2 linked regions of the Xenopus tropicalis genome follow. The protein of the gene in region 1 interacts with the protein of each later gene in a pairwise test. Links are inferred from orthologs where the notes say so. Each region holds a gene or a part of one and is shown on either strand. Other genes may lie near its edges.

Region 1 (5,603 bases):
CTTTAGACTATCTTAAAGAACAAGGCTGCAGTTATTTAGCATTGACTTTTCCTTTAAAATGCCATTAAATCTGTTATATACACTCTCTGTATCTCCTTGTCCAACATCTCATTCCCCAAAGGAAGGGTTTTAATATAAGGCTGGTCCTTCCTTTGCTAAAACAGCCTTTACCCCCTACTCTTCTGGAAAAACTACAATGTTGGACACAAATGAGGGGATCAGGCCTGGCTCACACTGGCATTTCAATTCATTTCCAGTTGGGCTGAAAAAAACTGAAAGTCTGGATTACAAAAACCTCTCAAAAAGTTGGTAACTACCCCCTCTCCTGAAAAGCTGTCTTAGATTTGCCGCTGTACCTCTTAGAAATCCTGCGCAAAACTGTGTCTTGCGAACAAAGCAGGGAGCTTGGAATAACATTACTTCGGTAACGTATGTAGGCCCCCATTTAATCCAATGAGTGGGGGGAAGTCAGGGGGGGGCATGGGGAGCTGTGGGTCTGCATTTATTCAGGAGTTTAAATCAACGAGTGGGGGAACTACATTTTGTAAAGGAAAGCTGCGGGTCTACGTTCTGCCTGATTATGAGGTCTGTAATTTAAATCAACAAGCAGGGAAAGTCAGCGGGGAATTTGATTTTGGAATAATATCACAGGGAAGATCAATGGGAGAAAAGCTACTGGTAAGCACTTCAATGCATTCTATGTGACAAAAATGCAGAGAAAACCACCCATTTTTCGCTCAAAAAAAATTGGAATTAACTTACATTTTGAACAGAAAAAAATGCAGTAAAAAAAATGTTTACAAATTTTTCAATGTTTTGCTAATTTTTTGCAGATTTGTTCATTACTATGTAAACATTGGCCCATGTACAGTCAGCTTTAGAAAATAGAATAAAAGCATTTATTTCTTGTTCATCGTCCTCATTCCTCTATAAATGATTGTATCTATACGCCCTAAAGACTGATCATTTAGGGTTTCTAAGAGATCATGCTCTGGAAATTATGTATACTATATATATAGTAAGTTACATAATAATACACTCCATAATACCAGCCAGCAATGCATCTGTAGTAAATTTTCTATCCCCATCAAAACAACTATAATTTAAGGCCTTGGCCTTATGTGACCCACTAAGGCATTTTATCCACCCCCTTTCAGCATTCTCAAGGGCTTACACAGACGTCTCAGTGTCACACCATTATTGCCATATAATCCTCTCGGCAAACCTCAGCCAAGCAGCCCAGTCTATACAATATGTGAACAACACTAATCTAAAAACAAGAGGCAAATGAGCCATTACCTGGAGAGCCACAAGATTCCTGTTCTGCATGCTGAAGGAATTCAAGTGGACTGGGAATGGAGTTGACTTGCAGTCGAGCTGCAAGTGTAGCTGACATTCTGCGAAAAGGACCTGGGTAGAGACAATATAAAGGAATGTGTGTAGGTTCACACACAAATAGAAATATGGCAGCATCACAGCACAAAGACATAGCAGTGGGCTGTAAGGGAACTGTGTAATACAAAACCCTGATGTCAGAACTGACAAGTGACACAAACATGACAAGCTGACACATATGAACTACCCCAGCATAGCAGGAAAAGCTGTCACCCCTACAGAGAATAAAGGAGCAATATACGCACACATTCAGCTGAAGCCCAAAAAAAGAAGTCTGTGCTGTAAATGTGTTCTGCTCATATCTTCACAAAATCTCTCTATATAGACTAATTTAAACTGTGTTCCTGGGGGTCAATGAAATAAAAGTTGCCAAGCTGGGCCCAAGTATAGTAGCTCCTTAATAAACAATCAGAAGGTCACATTTATGTAGCAAACATCTAATTGGTTACGTTGGTTTGCTAGACCTGGTACAAACTGTGCTACCTTTATGTATCACCTCTATTAAGCATTAAATCTTTTTGTACTTGGGCTCTGTTAACCAAATATAGTACCATAGTGAATACACCCATGGACAGTGGGCTCTGTATTATTATTTCCCTTCTTTACTGTTTGTGCTCTCAGGTGAAATAAATGTCTTTGTTACATAAAGAAAATGAACTGTAAAGCAGAGCTACTTAGATTTATCCCCATCCATCACTACCGCCAAAAAGCTGAGGAGGAAGCAGTTAGCTGCCAACTCAGTCTGAAAGAGCCAAAGTGGCCACCTTTACTATTAAAAAAAATAACATGGTGTATAACAGCTTATTCAGTTACTATATATTATAGCCTATATATATTTAGGCTGTAGGATGTGTGGATATTTGGAAAATATATATGTAGAACTGACCAAAGGAGGGTTGTGCAAAAAGTCTGGATTTTCATATCAGTTCTGGCTGAATGTATTTACCACAGGTTCCCTGTGCCATATTAAGAAGACACAACATTGCTGGCTTAGGCACTTTGCAAAAGAAGATGGGAACTTCTTTAACAGAAGGAGTAAGCATTTTGCTCATGATAATGGATAGCACACTGAACAGAAATATAAAAGCAAAAATATCACAGCATTCCATGAGTTAACTTATTGCAGGAAACCAACAAAACCAAGAACAGCCATAAACCATACTATGACTAGAAGTCCAGAATATACACGATCAATCGAAAACACATCACAGAAATTTAAACATGTAAAAGAACCTACAACCGCAAGAAAACATCACTTAAATATGCACACAGAAAACTGTGAATAGCACTTGTTATGTGCTACGGTATCCGGAAGCTACGTATACAGCAACAAAGAATGGAAGGAATGCATAGAAAACAAGAACTGGGCTGAGTATTGGCCCACAGGCAAACATAATAACATGGAGTCATTCTGAGAAAACACTGCCATCTGTTTAAGGGTTCACTAGCCCATGTGCTGTTTTTTGTCGCATTTTCCAGATATATGTAAGTGCTTATAATATTGAAAAAGGGACACAAATGTAAATACGGTAAGTAATAAAGTAAGTAGGTAATCAAACAGAATGACTCGTGGTGAATTCAGCCCATTTCCATTTTCAGGAGATATGTTGTAGCAGGGATCCCCAATCTTTTATACCCGTGAGCCACATTCAAATGGAAAATGTGTTGGGGAGCAACACAAGCATGAAAAAAGTTCCTGGGGGTGCCAATAAGAGCTATAATTGGCTATTTGGTAGCCCCTATGTGGAATTAGAGCCTATAAGAGGTTCTGTTTGGCTTTACACTGGGTTTTATGCAACCAACTATTGCCTCCAAGCCAGAAATTCAAAAACAAGCACCTAGGGGTTGTTAAGCAACATGTTGCTCACGAACCACTGGTTGGGGATCACTGTTGTATATGGTATATGTTGATAGCAACCTGGTTGTTGGTGACTCCTGGGGGCCTGGTGTGATGATGTACATCTGCGTGGACGATTAGGGCAATGACACAGGGAACTACTTGTAGTCAGCTACTTGTCGCTACTGACTGGTAATAAATTGGTCCTTAATGGGGCTACACATACATAGCTACTAAACTAACATAAGGTATTATATTGAATAATAAACTAAAATCTTGGTTTGCCGAGTGCAAGAGATTATCTTGTCACTCAAATGAGTCCCCAGAAATCCCAATATTCCCTTTGTTGTGCAAGCATAAACCTGGTGGGCCATTATTTCTCTATGCATTTTATCTATGTTTCCTCTAGGATTCCAGGAAATAATTCCACCTGTTAGAGTCAGTTCTTTCCTTCTGTAGTAAAGCCACACAAACAATAAAGCAGACAGCTACACTTTCAGTTGTACAGCACATAGACAATACAAGATAGCTATTCCTTTAAAATTGATACCTACAGGAATAAGTATGCCTTTTGTTGTAAGCAGCAGGACTTTCTTTTCCATAATACATTACAGATACATATGTCCATATGACAGGACTTCACACGACTGATGTACACAAGTTTATTACAACATATACAGGTTGAATATATATATATATGTATATTACATATACAGGTATATTGTAACACTCATAATCAATTCTCGGCAACAAAATAAAAACACTTCTATTTTAAGGCATTTTGTTTGGGGCAATTTATCTGTTACCCTTTACATACACCTACTGTAATGCACCAATGGAACAGATGCCACCCCCACCAACTGAACATATACTGGTCACTTTGTACAGCCCTCTGTATACTTAATTCAATCCTTTTATTTTATATTAGCTAGATGGGCTCCATATAGTGGCCTGGGTGATGATCCTGTAAAAAAAAAACTGGGTAAAGAAAAGGCAGACCGCAAGCTACTCTGATAAAACATTGTTTGCTGATAAAAATGTTCCTTCAATGAAGTATCATACTTTTTGAATTGCCTATCTTTTTTGAGATTTAGATTTGTTCTATATTTGTCCAGAATTGGATATACTGCCAAACAAGAAAGCACAGAACCACCATTAAAGGAGAACAGCAGGACTCCCTTGTCATGACTCTAAGGTACTTGGCATCTTGATGGCACCTTGCTGTGTGTGCAGTGGGATGGGAGTAGCATCAACTAGAAATAATACTTTTCTTAATATTATTCTTTAACTATACATTGTACTATAACATACATTTACATTTAATGAATCCCAACGATAATCTTACACATATTACTTTTTTTAAAAGATATTTCCCTTAAACTTGCCCATAAAAAGAGACCTACATATAACATAAAAGAAACAAGAAAATAGCAGGTGTGTGCAAACAGATGGTAAATGACATTTTATCATGGTGATTTAAAGCTTGATGAGTTTCTATTTTTGATTTAATGTAAGAAATGTAATAGACTGGTGTATTTTTAGTAGCTATTAATGTGTAAAATTCCACTTCACTCTACTCTTCCTGATTCAGGTGACTGTACTGCACAAGAAACAGCACAAAGAGGAGGTAGGGTGCAGGATGCATGTAAAAGGTTTAGTTACACCAACATTGAAAATAGTAAAAATGAAGATATTATTTCTCTAATTTGTGCATGCCCTTGCCAAGAATATGAGTAAGGACTACAATTCAAATTTTGGCCAAATACTACTTCAGAAGATTGGTACTTATCTCTACACAAAATGATGGGTGACAAAAAGTGTTTTAAACAGATTGGTAATTAATGACACAGCAGGTAAACATAACATAACAGATAAAGAGCATAGTTAAATACAATCAGTGTCTTTATGCACACATTTTTTAAGTGTTTATCCATCTCTGGGAGGGATCCCTAGCTTAGACTTTCTCTTTAGGGCTCTGGCACACGGGGAGATTAATCGCCCGCGACAAAACTCCCTGTTTGCAGGCGACTAATCTCCCTGGATTGCCATCCCACCGGCGAAAATGTAAATCGCCGGGGGATGGCATACATTCACTGAAATCGCGCAAGTTGCCTCGAGAGGAATCTATATTTTTGCTGGTGTTAGAGGCCTTTTACCTCATTATACACCTCAACATTAAGGCTTGTTCTTAAGCATCATTTTTAAACAGACCCTATGTAGAAACAGTACATTCTAGGATTTTAACTAGCATGCTTTCTTTCTTTTCTAATTGTTCTATGTGTGAGCATTGACCAGGCAAATGCCTGTAACTTCTAAAGGGGTTCCATAAAAATCTAATTTGAAATTGTGACGTTTAAAAGTACATTTTCAT
Region 2 (5,603 bases), about 26 Mb from region 1:
CCTGGTGGTGGTGGTGGACCTGGGGGAGGAGGTGGGCCAGGTGGTGCAGGGGGAGCAGCAGGAGCAGGAGTTGGCATGACCGGGGCAACTGGAAGAGTGTAAAGAGAAGAAGATACTCTCAGCAGGGCAATCATTTAAAAACTAATTATAATGGTATATAGTATAATAATTGTTTATACTCTAACAATAACTACTATCTGTAAATCCCAAAGTTGGCCTTTTAATGTGCAGATAGCTCAATACCTCAACAATCTGTTAAAAACATATACACCCACACATTTCCCACTTCTGCAATGGTATCTTTTGCCACAATAAAGGTTCTGCCCTGGGACCCACAGCAAAAGGGAAATATACAAGCTATAAAGCCGAACGGCCCCTATTTCCCTTACCTGGGCTCTGAATCCTCTGCTCAATTTCCTGTTGCACCCTGAAAGTAGAGGAAATATATAAAGGATATCTGAAAGCAAGTGAATTACAAAGTGTTTTACCCTGTACTTCAAGAGCAGCTCAAAGCTCTAATCTTTTAATACTTAAAGGGGTAGTTCACATTTAGGTTTGTTGAGGAAAATCATTTCTTTTAATTATGTGGCTTTCTCTTCTGCTTGTTTCCAGCTTTTACATGGGGGACACTGACCCAGCAGCCCACAACAATTTCTAGCAACCAGATATCTGTTGAAGTGCCAAACTGGAGAGCTACTGAACAACACACTAGTCATTTAAAAAAGCCAACTGCAAATTGTAATAGAATATTACAGTCTACATCATGGAAGTAACATTTATTTTAACATGAACGACACTTTTAAAAGCTGCTATGCCTTAGTTTTTTATTTGTCTATAAGAAATATTTAAAGGTGTATTTTCATATTTTTCCATTGCCATTTTTTTAATTGTTGCCATTGGCCTAATCATCATCCACTGTTCAGTTGCTGTTTAACAACCTTTCTTATTTCTCTTGTCTACAGATAAACATAATTTTGGTAATAAAGTGAGCAAATGCATCTTGGGCACAAAGTAATACAATATGCTTTCATGTCTTAAATGCTAGTTTTGCAAACAGACTCTGGCTGGAGAAAAATCCAGGCCTTTCTTTATTGTCACCTGACCCAGATTTGTGGCGAGGCTACAAAGGCCTGGGCCTATGGCGGCACAGATATAGGGGCAGCACACCGCCCCGCCACACCTAATCTTTGAAATTTAGCTCCCATACGGAGCAATGGGGACCTCTCCCCAGTGCTCCGTATGTAAAGTTAAATGTGTGCGCTAGCAACGGGGGGGGTGGAGGTATGGGCGAAGAATGGGGGCGGCCTTGGGGCGTCCGAATAAGAAATCTGGCACGGATTGTCACATGTTTAAAAAGAAAAGGTCTGCAAGAAAGAGGAATATAAGCAATGTTGGCTACTTCTCTCTAGGAATTATATCTTTTACTTTTTGGATTTTGGCATGATGCAATGCTTTCCTTACTAACAAAATGGCACCTGCCTGCTTGCTATATAGTGTAAGTGAAGTTTATTATGCTTGACTTACCCGGTAGAAAAGAATTTGGAATTATTTCTTAGGGTGACAGGTCCCCTTTAATAATTTGCAGCTGCAGAGGTGGCTTGTAGCAGAGCTGTATTCTAACATTTTTTTTTACATTTTTCCCAATAGCATTAATCAATGGCTTTTTATTAGCCCTGGTTACCCTTCTTCGGTGACAAGGGCAACAAGTAGATAAGACTCAGGATTGTGTCTGCAGCTCTCCCATCAAACTAGATCCTATAATAATAATACTTTGAACCATGGAGGTATTTATTTATTACTGTTAACATGATTTATATAAATCCTACTGATCCAAAACACATTAAAACCTATTCAAGGAAACAGTAATAGCAGCTTCCCTGCTACAGACTACATGGTCTTAGGCACAATAACAAAACAATTTACCCAGTTAGCCCCAATGTACACATGAGATTTATGGCCTATAGATAGATAGTGTCAGGTCATAATGAAAAATATGCAGGATCTGTAATATAAAAAAAGAACTGTGCAGCCTTAGCTTACCTTCTGGGTTGCTCAGGCTCTTCAACTTTTGGGCCATTTTGAGGAATCCGCGTACTGGCACCTGTTATTTAGAAATTAAGAGAAGCTGAAGCAATATGAAAAGACACATGTCTGAGAGGAATCAGAGAGGAGGCAGAAAGAGAGGAAAATGAAATATATGCTAATAATAAATATTTACTAATACAGTTATGGCACCACTTATCCAGAATACTCGGGACCTGGGGTTTTCTGAATAGGGGTCTTTCCGTACTTTGGATCTCCAAGCCTTAAGTCCCCAGGAAAATTATTTATTATGATTGTATATTTATTTATGATTGTTTTGTCTCCAATAAGGATTAATTATACCTTAGCTGGGATCAAGGTGCAAATCATTTTTAAAAATCAAAATTATCTGCTTATAATTGAGTCTATGGGAGATGGCCTTTCCATAATTTGAAACTTTCTGGATAACAGGTTTCCGGATAATGCATCTCATACCTGTATATACACATAAATAAAATATATACATACATACATACATACATATAACTATGATAAAATTGCTTTAAATAGCAGCTCTTCTTTAGCCATTGCAGTGCTCTAAACCCTAGAACTCAGTCTATGCAATTTCACATAAGTTCAAAAGTTGATTTCTGCAAAAACAAGGTCAGTTACTGGATTTTTAAAAGGTCATATTGTGTGACAGTCAACTGGATTTTTTTGCAGTGACAACACAAATGTAATGTAAAATGCCAAAGATCCAGCAGATCAGTCCATAGGCCACCCATGTATATATAATTACAATGTCAGGTGGAAAGTGGAAAGTAAAAAATGTTATAAATATTTGTGTACGTATGGCTGCCTTATGTGATTCGATCACATAAAGGGCACATACTAAAGCTGGCCATACACGCACCGATACTATCGTACGAAACCTCGTTTCGTACGATATTCGGTGCGTGTATGGCATGTCGGCGAGTCGACCGATATCGCAGGAGGCTGCTGATATCGGTCGACTCGCCGATTGGCCAGGTTAGAAAATTTTGATCGGGCGCCATAGAAGGCGCCTGACCAAAATCTGCCGTCAGGGCTGAATCGACAGAAGGAGGTAGAAATCCTATTGTTTCTACCTCCTTATCTGCTGTTTCAGCCCTGACGGTGTGTGGCGGATCTGACGATGTTTCGTGTGACCGATGGTCGCACGAAACATCGTCAGATCGCCACTTGTACGGACAGCTTTAGTCAGCTCTTACTCCTAAAACAAAAGGGTTGCCTTAATGATTAATATCAGATGGCAGCAATCCACACAGAACAGAAGGCATTTTCTTTTTATTGCCACTGCTTGTAATTCTATGTTTTAGTGTCCTAAGGCTGCAATAGTGCATCATCTTTAAACTCACAAACTGACAGAAGTGAGCCTGGACTTCTTATTAGAGGGCTAGTGCCACATGGGACTGATTCTCAGCCTGCAGAACACCCTGGCACCACCCTGCTACCTTGCCTGTACCCGAAAGCATTTTCTCTGTCCAAATGCAGCCAGACATTGCAGATAGCTGTAAATGTGAATTCCTGTATCTTTTGGGTGATATCCACACCGTCTGCCTGCCCCCCGGCGGAGACAATGCTTGCAGATGCAGGTAAGGTAGTAGGCTGATGCCAGCATAGACACAGGCCAAGAATCAGCACCGTATGGCACTGGCCTTAGAAGGGAAATTGAACTTCATGTTTGGCCCTTGTAAGGTACATAAGTGGATTTTCAGGATTTATGCAGGGATTTATCTATGCACTCAAAGGTAATCTACTTAGTAAGGACCAAACATGGAGTAACTTGATTTTCCCTTTTTACCCAGAACAGAAGTCCTATTTGTTGGAACTGAAATTGACCTGAAATGGAGTACATTGCCATTTAAGCCGAGAGGGTAACAAACCATTCCACTGAAAACTTTAGCTAAACTTTAAATATCCAAGATCTTGCGTGGAGATCATGGGAAGAGTAGTTTAATATCAAATGGCTGTATGTTTCTTTATCTTACCAGTTTCCAGTGCATCCAGGGCCTGTGTGATTCCTACAGCAAACTGCCCTGCTTCTTCTTTATTGGCAAAGTTCAGACCCCACACCTGACGGCTGTCCCTCCATTGATGGAAGTTGGGGGTGGCTTGATTGTACTTTAGACCTCTCACCAGTGGGCAGTTTATAACAACCTATAACAAGAGCCAGATGAGTGCAGAAACGTGTTGGGTAAATTGATTTCCTTCTAATACCATGTCCAAACTTTAATGGGGTAGTTCACCTTTAAGTTAACTTTTAATATGTTATAAAATGGCCAATTCTTAGAAACTTTTCAACTTATTTTTTATTTTCTATAGTTTTTGAATTATTTGCCTTTTTCTTCTGACTTTCTAGCTGACAAATGGGGGTCACTGATCCAAAAACTTTTCTTATTCTTAATTTTTCTTACTTTCTATTCAGGTCCCATTCTAATTATTTTCTAGTCTCTTGTTCAAACCACTGCCAGGTTGTTAGGGTAATTTAGACCCTAGCAACCAGACAGGTGATGAAATTCCAAACTGGAGAGTTGAATAAGTTAAATAGTTAAAAAAACACAAATGAAAGGCCAATTGTAATTTGCTTCAGAATATAACTCTCTATGTCATACTAAAAGGGAATGTTAAGGTGAACAACCCCTTTAATAGCCAAACATATTTCCCTGTGAAGTTACATTCTCTGAGCCTCTGAACCTTTCTAAAACAGAAATTGCTATTGTAGTTGCACAGGAAGTTCTGGGGTGCTTTTAAGTATTCCAAACATGCTGCACCAAATCACATGAAACAAACCCTCACAGACTTGCAGTGTAACAAGGGGGGTGGGGGAAGAAAAATATTCTTACTGAATATCACCCAACAGCATTATGCCTCCCCATCATTTACCTCCAGGTCAGCACTCTGTTTCTAAATTAATGGAATTAATTTATATCTTGATAATTATTGGTTTTATTTGTTTTTTAGGCTAAGGGCTGTCACACACAGGGAGATTAGTCGCCTTGCGAAAAATCTCCCTTGTCACGGGCGACTAATCCCCGAATCCCCAAAATGCCATCCCACTGGCTAGAATGTAAATCGCCGGTGGGATGGCATATGAGGTGCCGCAATTTGCCGAAGTTGCAGAAGTTTCCTCTGCAAATCGCGGCACCACGTATGCCATCCCACGGCGATTCACATTCTAGCCGGTGGGATGGTATTTCGGGGAGATTAGTCAACCGCAACAACAGAGATTTGTCGTGTGGCGACTAATGTCCCCCCGTGTCACAGCCCTAAAACATACATATCCTATCATTTGGTACACAAATGTGAGTCCATAATGCTTGCAGTGTTAAAACATAAAAACTTTTAAATTTAGTGGTTTGCAAAAGTATTTATATATATATATATATATATATATATATATATATATATATATATACACACATACATACATATGCTGTTCTCAAAATTATTCAGCCCCACAAGAGAGGGGCAAGGTAGTGGCTCAAAAACAAAAAGATAAATAAAATCTGCCAAAACTTCTACCAAACACTGAGCAAAGT

Evidence for each region. The genes of interacting proteins can lie anywhere in the genome.
Region 2: the proteins of trim9 (region 1) and vasp interact in binary tests that used the Homo sapiens proteins (3 or more experiments, as listed by UniProt). The two-hybrid records come from large-scale screens. The link is inferred for Xenopus tropicalis from reciprocal best matches to the Homo sapiens genes TRIM9 and VASP.

What each region holds. Positions count from the first base shown.
Region 1 is NC_030684.2:96,141,420-96,147,022, reverse strand, and holds part of trim9 (E3 ubiquitin-protein ligase TRIM9), read right to left. Parts: intron 1,411-5,603; coding exon 1,300-1,410; intron 1-1,299. UniProt on the Homo sapiens protein: E3 ubiquitin-protein ligase which ubiquitinates itself in cooperation with an E2 enzyme UBE2D2/UBC4 and serves as a targeting signal for proteasomal degradation.
Region 2 is NC_030684.2:70,569,483-70,575,085, forward strand, and holds part of vasp (vasodilator-stimulated phosphoprotein), read right to left. Parts: intron 4,222-5,603; coding exon 4,053-4,221; intron 2,102-4,052; coding exon 2,041-2,101; intron 428-2,040; coding exon 390-427; intron 89-389; coding exon 1-88. UniProt on the Homo sapiens protein: Ena/VASP proteins are actin-associated proteins involved in a range of processes dependent on cytoskeleton remodeling and cell polarity such as axon guidance, lamellipodial and filopodial dynamics, platelet activation and cell migration.